Lepisosteus oculatus: one gene and its partners. The protein of the gene in region 1 interacts with the protein of each later gene in a pairwise test. Links are inferred from orthologs where the notes say so. Each region holds a gene or a part of one and is shown in the gene's direction. Other genes may lie near its edges. The genes, in order: eda, dolk and cyb561.

Region 1 (3,753 bases):
AATTAAATTTAAGGAATTTTAAAAGAAAGTTAAGAAGTCTTACTGTTCTCAAAAGAATTGATCTTTAATAGACCTTTTTTAAATTGCTTTCAAGTGAAATACACTAAAAGATGACAAGGAAAATGCATGTTTTCCAAGCATTTGCGTGAAGTCTCACACTAGTAGATGTGTCATCTCCAGATGTTTAGTCTATTTTGAGATTTTTTTATACCATCAGACAGCCTCTGCGCTCCTTAATTAAAATGCATGTGTCATATGTTCTTGCTTTTATTTTATAAAGTACTTGCAAAGTCTTTTGGTGATAATTTTGGTGCATAATTACTAACTTGTACAAGTTTCAAACACAGCAAGTATTAAAGCTAAAGAAAAAGACCCTACTTAATCTTTGAGCTCAGTGAAGGGAAAACACACAAAAAGTTTCCTGTTGTGTAAAAATAAATTTTAATTATAACAGTATAAATCATTTCAGTCATGTATAGATCTGGATTTAGATGTGAAGAAGCATTCCAATAACGTTAATTAAAGTTTTGAGATGGAAAGTAAGTCAACTTTGATCATTTAATTTTGATCAGCAAATCAAATAAATGTGATCTGAAGAACATATAAGTTACTAAATGTGAACATTTAAAAAAAGCAGCTATGTTTTGTAACAGGGAGCCATGTACAGTAGGAGTAACTAGGAATATGTTACATGAGTAGGTGATATTCTTTAATAAACAGCTGTATAATATGGATCTCCGTGTAAAGGATTTTCATGCTTTCTCCTACAGAGTACTCAGTAATAAACAGTAGTCAACTAAAGTTTTTTAAGCTTTCATAAAAGTTGCCAACGTTATGATGTAGGGTATATTAATGCATAATTTAAAGGTAAGACAGTAAGAGATTAATCAAAATTTTAATTCCCTAGCTTTCTCAAAATAATAGCCACATTTGAACTACAGCGTAAATTTAGAAGAATTATTACACGCCCCCCTCACTTTGCTTTATTTATTGTAATTGTAATATGAGATATATTCTATAAACGGATTACACTTGATGGAGAACTTTCAAAATACAACTGCGATTTGAAATTTTCCAGAGCACGCTTACTGTTTTGTCAGGTTTATAAAATGTATCTTTTTTTATATATATAAAATTACGTTTGTATATCAAATCGCCACGTGCATTTCATCACCGCCCAATAACTCTTTGCAGCAAACGTGCTTGATTCACAATAGCAAGTGCTTCCTGCTTTGCCTGAACCTTTCTTTGCTTTTCCCGAGGTCAGCACTTCAGCAGTTCTCTGCTTTAGACACCATGTCAGTTAACAAATTGCGTGAGTAACAATATGAACTTCATGGGCAAAGTTCTTCGAGTAATCCATAATGAATGACGTGACCTTTTGTATACCCTTTCATAAGCAGCAACTACTCCACATGAAAAGAAAGCATATGAAAGAAGGAAGAGAGGAGGGAAAATGGGTTGTGTTCTGCCTCCGTTACGTATCCAGTCCCCAATCAGAAACGCTAAAGGCGGATCCTAAAACCGGATTGTTACTAGTGATTGACGCGGTTTGCTAGTTTGGTTACTTATTCTGATCAAGGAAAAAGATCAGAGGAGTGGTTTTCATGTGGGCTTCTGCTTCAAAGTTACTGATCAGTAGTGGATCAGACCCCAGAAAGCAGCTGATTATGCTGAAATAGCACTACCTGTTTCTATTTACAAAAAAATGGCATCTAAAGGTTTAACAGAAAATGTTGCAAACTTAGAGGAGAAAGCACTGAAACCTGAACTTCCTACAACCTGCATGTGCAGGAAACAATGTAACAACTGTAAGATTTTCCTGGGATTCTTCGTATTGTCCCTCTCGTTGCATTTGATCACACTTTTCTGCTATCTGGATCTCAGATCTGAAGTGAAACGCGAGCTTTCACAGAAAAACAGAGATGAAATTGTGACGCCGGGTGCAACTGACTTAAATGAACCGCTTTCCCCTGAATACCATCTTTTGGACATCAGCTACCCTACAATGGACCAAGAGGTAATCGCAATAACACTATTTGTTTATAAACCGGCATCTGTACGATGAAAGCGATAAAGCTGTATCTAAAATAAGAGCGTCTAGAAATCGTAAGAAGAACATTGTGGTCCACCGCAGTTTATTTTTCTTCAACTAGAGCGTCAGTCAAGCATTTTATTTAAGGATCAGTTTGATCGTTTGTAACGACTGTGATTGGTTGCGTAAAACTATATCCAGTCACATTTGGTTTTTTTTAAAAAAAAGGGGATGCCGGTTTTGTTAATATATCACATTTATGAAATGCACAGATTATTTAATAGAAATTAATCGCTTTGAAGCACAAATGTTTTCTGTGAAGAGTAGGTTTATAACAGCTTCCGTTCTGTTAAACCGCGATCTCTCTTCATCCTGCTAGGTAAAAGGTAAGTTAAAATTCTTTGCCGAAGGGCTAAGGTTTCGAAATCGACAATGATATGGCGCTCCAACAATTAGATTTAAAAGTAACAAAGATAAGACAAGTACTGTATTTTAGTTTTTTTTTACTTTTTTTTGATTCGAGAAATTAAAACGTCTTTCTGCGTCCACCATACCATTCTGTGGTTAAAGTTACTCCTCAACTTGTGCCAATGTGAAATGATGTATTGAGAACAGTAGGATTTGTGAATTTAGAATACAATACCGGTACACATGTTCCTGAAATGCAAATTTATACATTTGGAACTGGAACAGCTGCTGTTATACGGTGGAGGGGGGAAAAAGAGAAAACAGAAGTTTGTAGACTTAACTGGCCTTTTACACATGAGCTTTTTATGACTGAACGTTTTTTACATAGTTTTGAGGGGTTTGTTCCTAGAACCCTCATATACTGCTGCATGCACTGATGAAGTTTACCCTACCTGGTTCAGATATTACTGAAATAGTGGCTAACTTTAGGTTACTTCGGTATCCCCTTCGCCATGTGAAGAGCTATAGTTGAACTAATGAAATAAAAAAAAATATGTATCCAAGCTCAACATGAAAGTTTCAGAAACAGTATGTAATGTTCTACAACAGTGCTGCACTACAGAGATGATCCCATTGGTATACGTACCTTCCCGCTCTGGAAATGTTTAGCTCTCAAATGAGACAAGTCAGATAACAGGTACTGTTTGCTTTGACGGAGAGTTACTGTGTCAGTGATGTATTAGCTGTTGAAGATTTATAGTTGGTGCCAGATTTCATGCAAAAGAGCAAGTCTATGTATCCCATGCCTTTAAAAGATTTGCCCATTTACAGTAGAGCACTTTTAACTACAGCACATGAATAGCATAGCTTACTTGTTGACTTTGTATTAAAGGCTAATGTTAAGTTACTGGGGACTACATTTATGAATGTGTCATATGCAATACCTTTGTCACGCCCTTGAATATATTGTACCCTGAAGCTACAGTGGTTAACATTTAGAGGAGATTAACCTGTGCTTAAATTGTGAAAAATTAGAGAAGTAAGTAAGCAGTGAGTAGTGAGAAGTATTTGATTTGGAACCTCTAGAAAAACTAAATGAAGCACTACTAAAATAGAAAATATGGCAAGTAGACGAGCACATAAACTGGCTTAAGCAAATCCTTTTTTTAGACATTTGATTTACTGCTAACATGTGTATCTGATTTTCTTTAGTGTAACTTTCTATGTGAAAAAATTGGGGTCATAAAACAGGTGTTTTGTGAGTGCCTGTCCACAGGAAGATTTCAGATTTACAATATGTGCTAATTGCA
Region 2 (3,753 bases), on another chromosome or scaffold:
GCACTGCTGATAATCATTTTTTAATTAAAGGGTTGCATATTCATGCAAACAGAATACGGAAAAAAACGTTACCGGTTCCCTCAAAGCCGATCTTCCCAACAAGATCGTCCAAAGTTCTCTGCTGGTCCTACAAAAATAAACGCATTCATCCCTATAAAAGTGACGAAAATAATCATAAATGACATTCCACGCACTTATACTTAGAGATAAACGTGAACATTTAAAAGCTTACACATCTGCGGCATATTAACACTGTTACGTACATTTCACATCTCACTGGTACGTCTGGACGCTACACACGATTTTTAGGGTCAGAAATAAGGAAAAAAAATACTTTACTCCAAAGTTGAAAGTGTCAAAATCAGATTCAAGTTACTGTATGTTCAAACCTCCGCGTTCAACTGTTTTGACATTTCTCGGCAGTTCTGTGTTAATGGAAGTTACAACATTTTGACAGTATACGTTTGTTTTCTTTTAAATTGTCTTTATTAAAGGGATGCAGCGTAACGGATCGTCCTTCGCATGAATTTTAGGAACCAATAGCCTACATTCATTCAAAGAACTAGGCACGTTTTCAATCTAGTTTTTAAGCAATTACTTCTGTTATAACATTGGCAATAAACCTAGATAATAGGACCACCGTACTATATAGTCTCAACAAGTTTTTTCTATACTGTTAATTGTTCTTGATCCGAACATTATTGGAGTATCTCGGAACATGGTACTTGTTATATACATATTTCCTGCCAATGAGAATAAGAAGCAATGTTAACTGCCTTCTAAAAAATTTCACTAACATGCGGCAGAAAACAGCACACATTTTTCCCTCCACATTGTAATAGCCATCCCATTTATAAAAGTAAGAACTAAAAGGAAAACGTCCAAACGTCTAAATAACTATTCATTCATTTCATTTTATCCTTCCTCATTACATTTCCCATTCAGACATGATCAGTTTTGTACAATGCCATACATTAAAAGAACACTTTTGCTTTTCTTTCAAGTACCTGACACACATCTCCGAGTCCGCCATATTCCCCCCTACACGTGACACCTCCTCCGGTCGAACACCCTGGTCATGTGACGGGTGCCCCGGGTTGGAAAGAATAAAAAAAACACTTCCGAAGCCGGCAACTGAGATGCGATCACTGTGTAGGAAGCAGAAAATAAAATCCGCCCTATTCATGTGATCAAGCTGTCAACATGGCCGCCTCCTAGATGTTAAAGACTAAAAAAAAAATTATACGATCGAATGAAAGTACGCACAAAACGTGTTATGATCGCGGTGGACATGTGAAGTAAGTTAATTAACACATTTTATGATATCTGGGTAGTGTTATCAGTTGGCTTTTGCAAATTCATGGGGATGTTGCTTGCATGTCAGATATCTTGTACCTTGCACCCAGTTCCGTTATGTTGTAATTTCATACAATCGATTGGCTACCAACCAGTCTTGTTAAACCACAAAAGGCCTCAGTTAAAGCGGACTCGAATGCATTTACCGTGGAGCTCTTAAATATCCATGCGTTTCTCGTGTTTTCAATTTTGAAGCTTTTAACTATGGATAGGAAATTACGCACCTGCAGCCAAAAAACGCTGTCTGAAATACATTGTTTTATACAATAGCCGTTTAACAATGTCAGTACTAGTCTACTTCAGTGGAGTGGTTTTATGAAAAAGCACAGCGTTAAGGTAAGCTGACTGTCAAATTGTTACATGTTTCACAAGCTTTGTTAGGAACAGAGTGGTGTTTGAAACAAAGAGCATTAATGTTTTAAAGAGAGGAGGCCATCCTGCTGATCTAAGTCGCTTGGGTGATACCGATACAGTACTAAGCTAAGTGATCCGAGGATTTCGTCGGGCTGCGTCTTGAAAGACGACATTACACGACCATAAAAGAACGTTTTTATTCTCTTCTAACCGGATACTCCGCGGATGTGTGATGACGAAGAGTTTTATTAAATGTTTTATTACGTGGGGAGTAAAAGCACGTTTCCATGATTTGCTTACTTTTATTACGACAGAATTGTAGTATTTTGCCCTGGCCGTTGGCATTTCTAATTGGTGACGTCTCTCGTGTCCGTGAGGGTACATCGGCTTGCAAATACGCTATAGAAAAAGTGACAGAATTATAGAGTTAAATCATTCCACCGACCGAGACTAACACTGTAATATATATATATATCGATAGGTGGCGTAAGAATGAAGAATGGAAAAATGTGAAGCATTACATCAAGGAAGTGGCCTGCCCTGGATGCAAGAAAATACCGATAAATAGCAGTTTTGAGAAGCACCCCTGAAGCTGCAGGATCTGCAACCATGCTGACGAATCCTGTGTTCGTGGAGTCAGTTATTGTTTTCACTATTGTTTTGTGTGTCCATTTTGTGGTTTGGAATCAGCTGTCATGGTGTTCCATTGCCTTGGCCATTCAAGCCTTCTATGTCCAGTACAAATGGGACCGCCTCCTGAAATCTGGCGGGGCTGTGTTTCAGTTCAGACCCTCTGCGAACAGTGGCATCCTGCCCGCTTGCATGATCATGCCTCTACTTGGCCTGGCCCTGAAAGAGCGCTGCCAAGCCTCCGGAAATGTGTACTTCGAGCGCTTTTCAATGGTGGTCACCGCGACAGGGATGATGCTGGCTCTGTTTCTCTCCCTGATTGCCCTCGGCATCACCAGGCCTGTGCCGACCAACACCTGTGTCATTTCTGGCATTGCTGGTAGCGCCGTGATCTACACGATCAAGCAAACCCTAACGGTCTCTGAAGTCATTGAAGTGCTGGAGGTGCTTCTGATCTTCGTCTACCTCAGCCTGATCATTCTGTACCTCCTGCCTCGCTGCTTCACTCCTGGTGAGGGCCTCATCATCATCGGTGGTATTAGCTTCATCATCAACCAGCTCATTAAGCGCTCCCTGAATGCCCCTGAATCCAAAGGAGATCCCATCAACTACTTCCTGCTAGTGATCGTGGTTGGATGTCTCTTGCTGGGGATCTTCTTCACCCTGCTCTTCTGCTTCATGGAGTCGGAGACCTGGGTGTCCTCCCTGTTTTTCCACATGATGACGGCAGTTCTTGGCTTGGGGATTATCATGCCATGGCTTGCCCTCCTGATCCGAAGGCACCCCTTAATGTGGCTGATCGACTTCCTCCTCCTGAGTCAGAACAGACTCTGCCTGCTGGCCTACTGGGTCCTGCTGGCAGTGCTGGCGTCTCTGGTGGTGTTCCACCAGAACTACAAGAGGTCTTTGGGGTCCAAGAAGCACCAGGCCTCTACAGTCGTGAGGAAGTACTTCCATTTCATTGTGGTGGCCACGTACGTGCCCGGGCTGATTTACGACCGTCAGCTTCTGCACGTCGCCTCCGTCACCTGCTTGGCCGCCTTCCTCCTCCTGGAGTACGTCCGCTACTTTCGGATCAGACCCGTCGGGCACCTCCTCCGGCAGCTGCTGTCTCTGTTCCTGGATGAGCGAGACTCCGGGCCCCTCATCCTCACCCACATCTACCTTCTCCTCGGGATGTCCCTTCCCATATGGCTGTACCCTGGACCCTGCATGCCTAAAGGAAGCCTCCCAGGAGTGGGGGGACTGGTGCCCTATGCTGGTGTGCTGGCCGTCGGTGTTGGGGACACTATGGCATCTGTGTTCGGCAGCACCATGGGAGAGGTCCGGTGGCCCGGGACCAAGAAGACCATGGAAGGGACAGCCACTTCGATCTTCGCCCAGATTATTGCTATTGCTCTTTTCCTCATTTTT
Region 3 (3,753 bases), on another chromosome or scaffold:
ACGGCAAACAGCAGGTAGGTGCCATGTCTGTTCTCCTGGCTTCTGAGCTGCAGTTTCCTAAAAGCTGCCCTGTCGGTCCTCAGCACTGACAGGCAGGGCTGTGGCTGGATTAGTGAAGCTGCTAAAATGTTCCATTTTCATTTTCCATCAGTTTCCAAGGTTTCGGTTCAATCAAAATGAGGCTTCTGTTAAACAGGGGTATAGGAACGTAGACCACCTGCTATAGGATTTTAGGACTTTGCCCTGGGAACACTTCCCACTCACCCCTTACAAGGATATCTTTGTTCCTAACCCATGTTGGAAGGAAAACGGGGCTTTAATTAATCTGATTTTTTTCAATCTTTGATTGACCTGATTTAATTGGCAGGTGGTCTGGACAGAGGGCTCCCTGTTGGGCTGTGTGGGTCTGTGCTGTGTCATGCAGTGGTTCACACCCTGGACACGCCTGGATCATACTGTACATGAGCTTCAGTAATTCCTGCATGGCCGGACACATGATGTTCTCCTCAAAACTACTTCTAAGATGTTGGGAGTTGCTAGTCATGTTACTGGATGAGTCCCGGTTTTATGTGATGGAGGACTGAACAGAACTGTAGCACAGAACAGTACCATCCAAAAGATTTCAATTCTTGATTGCTGGTGCAGTCCAGGGTCCTTCTTCAGTCTTGTGCAATCAACACAGCATTCTTGATGCCGCTACCGAAATGTGTAAATCTGAATCACTAATAAAGAGAACAAAGCAATATGTGAATATATTGATATTTCTTAATATTAGGATGTAATTGGTTTAAATAAGCAAATAAAAGATAAAATTTTACATTGATACCTGAGATTACATTAATGAGACAATGCAGTAGTTAATGCACTCTTAAATAGGCTGTGCCTTTGTACTCTGTGGCTGGAACGAGAGAATAAACTTATTGGTTCTTTTGTCTCTGGCGTCTAAAACTCTCACTGCACCGTTTTAAAGGTTTAAGTCGCAAATACAGATTGGTCTTGGGGAAAGGTGATTAGAAGTGATCTAATTACTCTTTCAGTTCTGCCACAGAGCCAAGGGATCTGCAGCTACAATTTCCCTTATCAGCTCTTCGGGTCTAGACTGCTACCACAACCAGTTCACTTTCCATAACCGGCTACTTTGCATGTGCCTGGACGAGGTTTCACATGACAAGTTTTCATGTAAAAGAGCCTGTGCGTGTTCTTGATCGTTCCGGCAGTGGCTTCTTCAACTGATAACATCAATGGCTGCTGTTTGCCTTCGGGTATGAGCTACACTGTAAATGAATGAATCATCTGTTCCAATCGCTCTCTCACCTGCTGCGTGTCTGATTAACTGAGATCTCTTTCTCTGTCCACCTCCTTGTGTTCCTTCTTCTCCTGCTGCCTCTTTTCCCATCGCTCTCCCCTCCACTGCTCATCCTGCCTTTCCCAGCCCTCGCGACCCGGCGCTCCCAGAGCATGGCGGACAGTCCGGTGGAGCAGTCCTGCCCCTCTCAGCTGCCCTGGCTGGTGGGGGGCTCCCAGGTGTTCGGCTTGGCGTGTGTGGTCCTCACGGGGGTGTGGATGGGTCACTACCAGGGGGGCTACGCCTGGGACGGCACCGCCAGGGAGTTCAACATCCACCCGCTGTGCATGGTCATCGGACTGGTGTTCCTGTACGGGGACGGTCAGTGCAAGACATTTCCCACTGCCTGGGTTCCATTTCCAAAGCTTTAAGTACAGAATCCCATTTGTTTCTGACAGCAACTATCAGAACTTTCAGTATCCAACAAGCGAAGTATGGAAATGACAGAAGAGACACCACTTACATAGCTTTGAATCACTGGCTGTAGTGGACAGCACAGTGACAGAGAGATTAATTTTGCTGCCCCAGGAATCCTGGTTTCAGTTCTAGCCTTATCGATCCTTCTGTATGGAGTCTGCATGTTCTAACGGGGGTGGGGGGGGTCATCCTGTTTATTACCAGGCACTCTCCTTCTTCTAACTTCCCAAAGACACACAGATCAGGTCTGATCAGGCCGACACCCGGGTCACCCTGCGCTGACCAAGCACGGTACGATACAGTCTCCCTGTCCTGCACGCCCCATGAAAGACGAAGACTGGATATTTCTGGAAGTCGAGTTAAAATATTGGCAGTTAATTACACTTACCCTTTGTTCCCCATAGCATTATTCTTCCTGTGAAATGATCAGCGTGATCTGAACGTACCGCACTCTGAACGAACTGAGACGAGTATTCAGTTTGAGCTTGGATCAGCACTGATATTTCTTTAGGGTCAGCATGAGGAGGCCATGGCAATGGGAATCGGTGTCCTCATGCCTTTAGGATGAGATTAAAGTAAACACACGAAGAACGAAAGAGCAGGTGTGGCTGTAGAGTGTAAATGATTCACTAGCACACTGCTGCCTCGGAGTCTTACTGGCTATGGGATGGCATGGGGGTTCGTTTCTCCCAGACAAGTTCCTCTCGCATCTTAAAAACATCCAGGACAGGTCTGACTGGTCAACCACAAGGAAGTGAGCAGGACACCTGCCCACTGACGAGAGAGGTGCCTCTGTGGCTGATGCCAGGAATCAACTAGGGGTTTCATGGGAAGATAAATGATTTTCATTCCCAAATAGCACAAAGGTTTTACAAAGGCAGGAGGCCGATTGTCTCCTGTGCTCTCAGACTTGTGACAAGAGCTGATCTACTGGCTAAATATCCAGATCCTCGTTCAGAGGGAGGACAGACTGGAATTCAGGCCGGACCACAGGGTCTGGGCTGAATAACTCTCATCCAACTGAGAAACTGACTGATCTCGTGTTTAGAAATGGGTCTGAATTTTCCTGTGCGGACCATCTAATAACACCTCCAAACTGTCCATTTTTCTCTCCTTTCATGGCTCGACCCAGGTCTCCAGGAAGGCCTTCCGGAAAAGCAAACGAACCATAAAAACAGCAATTAGAATCCGCCGTAGCTGAAATGGAACAGGGTGACATTCTGCCCAAGTGCTGAGCCTTGGCTGTTCTCACATGGAGGAGAGAGTCTCCAGGCAGTGCTCATCACTGCCTTGCTCCTTGAAAATGTCATTTCTCTAAGGAGAAAATGAAAATAATTTAATAATACAGGACTCTGAAAAATTACAAATTCACCTGCTGCTTTATATGCCATCCTGAGCTTCTTGTGAATTAAAATCTATCAACGATGAACAAAACAAGATGATGACATTTTGCCGTTTTCACCGAGCTCTTTCTTCCCCCTTCAGCCTGTGGTTTTTAGATAAACTAAATGCTTAATGTTATTTAAATCACATCTGTTTCTTCTAATTTTGCCTGTTTTTCTAACATAAAGGACAAAGAAAAAACACAGCCGGGCCTTTTTACTAAGTAAATTGAATCAGCAGTTGGCCCCAGGCTCTCAAACCCTCACTGTGAATTCAGTTAGGAGGTTAACTTTTAAAGGCCACGGGATCATTAGTAAGTTAGCCGTTTCATTTTCTCACTCAGAACACTTCACAGCAATGGCCTCAGGGGGCCAGGAAAGATTAGACGCACAGGGTGCAGTCTGGCCCAGTCGTTATCTCCCGAGGCCTCATCGCCTGCTGCTGTACCTCACTGGCCAGCCAGCAAGGCTGAAGCCTGACAGCTCCGGTCTCCAAGGGAGACAAACCACATTAAAGATGTTGACTCCAAGTCTATTTCAAGCCCAGAAAGGTGACTAAGAGGAGAGGGTATTGAGAACTGAAACCAGAGTTCTTTTTTCAAGCTGAAA

Evidence for each region.
Region 2: the proteins of eda (region 1) and dolk interact in binary tests that used the Homo sapiens proteins (3 or more experiments, as listed by UniProt). The two-hybrid records come from large-scale screens. The link is inferred for Lepisosteus oculatus from reciprocal best matches to the Homo sapiens genes EDA and DOLK.
Region 3: the proteins of eda (region 1) and cyb561 interact in binary tests that used the Homo sapiens proteins (3 or more experiments, as listed by UniProt). The two-hybrid records come from large-scale screens. The link is inferred for Lepisosteus oculatus from reciprocal best matches to the Homo sapiens genes EDA and CYB561.

The regions. Positions count from the first base shown.
Region 1 is NC_090703.1:44,538,254-44,542,006, forward strand, and holds the start of eda (ectodysplasin-A), read left to right. Parts: upstream 1-1,553; 5' UTR 1,554-1,708; coding exon 1,709-2,020; intron 2,021-3,753. UniProt on the Homo sapiens protein: Cytokine which is involved in epithelial-mesenchymal signaling during morphogenesis of ectodermal organs. Functions as a ligand activating the DEATH-domain containing receptors EDAR and EDA2R. May also play a role in cell adhesion.
Region 2 is NC_090719.1:7,423,307-7,427,059, reverse strand, and holds the start of dolk (dolichol kinase), read left to right. Parts: upstream 1-1,190; 5' UTR 1,191-1,298; intron 1,299-1,332; exon of another isoform or gene 1,333-1,692; intron 1,693-2,191; 5' UTR 2,192-2,319; coding exon 2,320-3,753. Other genes in the region: nucleoporin NUP188, read right to left, coding at 73-127, 1,008-1,033. UniProt on the Homo sapiens protein: Catalyzes CTP-mediated phosphorylation of dolichol, the terminal step in de novo dolichyl monophosphate (Dol-P) biosynthesis. Dol-P is a lipid carrier essential for the synthesis of N-linked and O-linked oligosaccharides and for GPI anchors.
Region 3 is NC_090723.1:4,082,524-4,086,276, forward strand, and holds the start of cyb561 (transmembrane ascorbate-dependent reductase CYB561), read left to right. Parts: upstream 1-1,458; coding exon 1,459-1,666; intron 1,667-2,132; exon of another isoform or gene 2,133-3,076; intron 3,077-3,753. UniProt on the Homo sapiens protein: Transmembrane reductase that uses ascorbate as an electron donor in the cytoplasm and transfers electrons across membranes to reduce monodehydro-L-ascorbate radical in the lumen of secretory vesicles.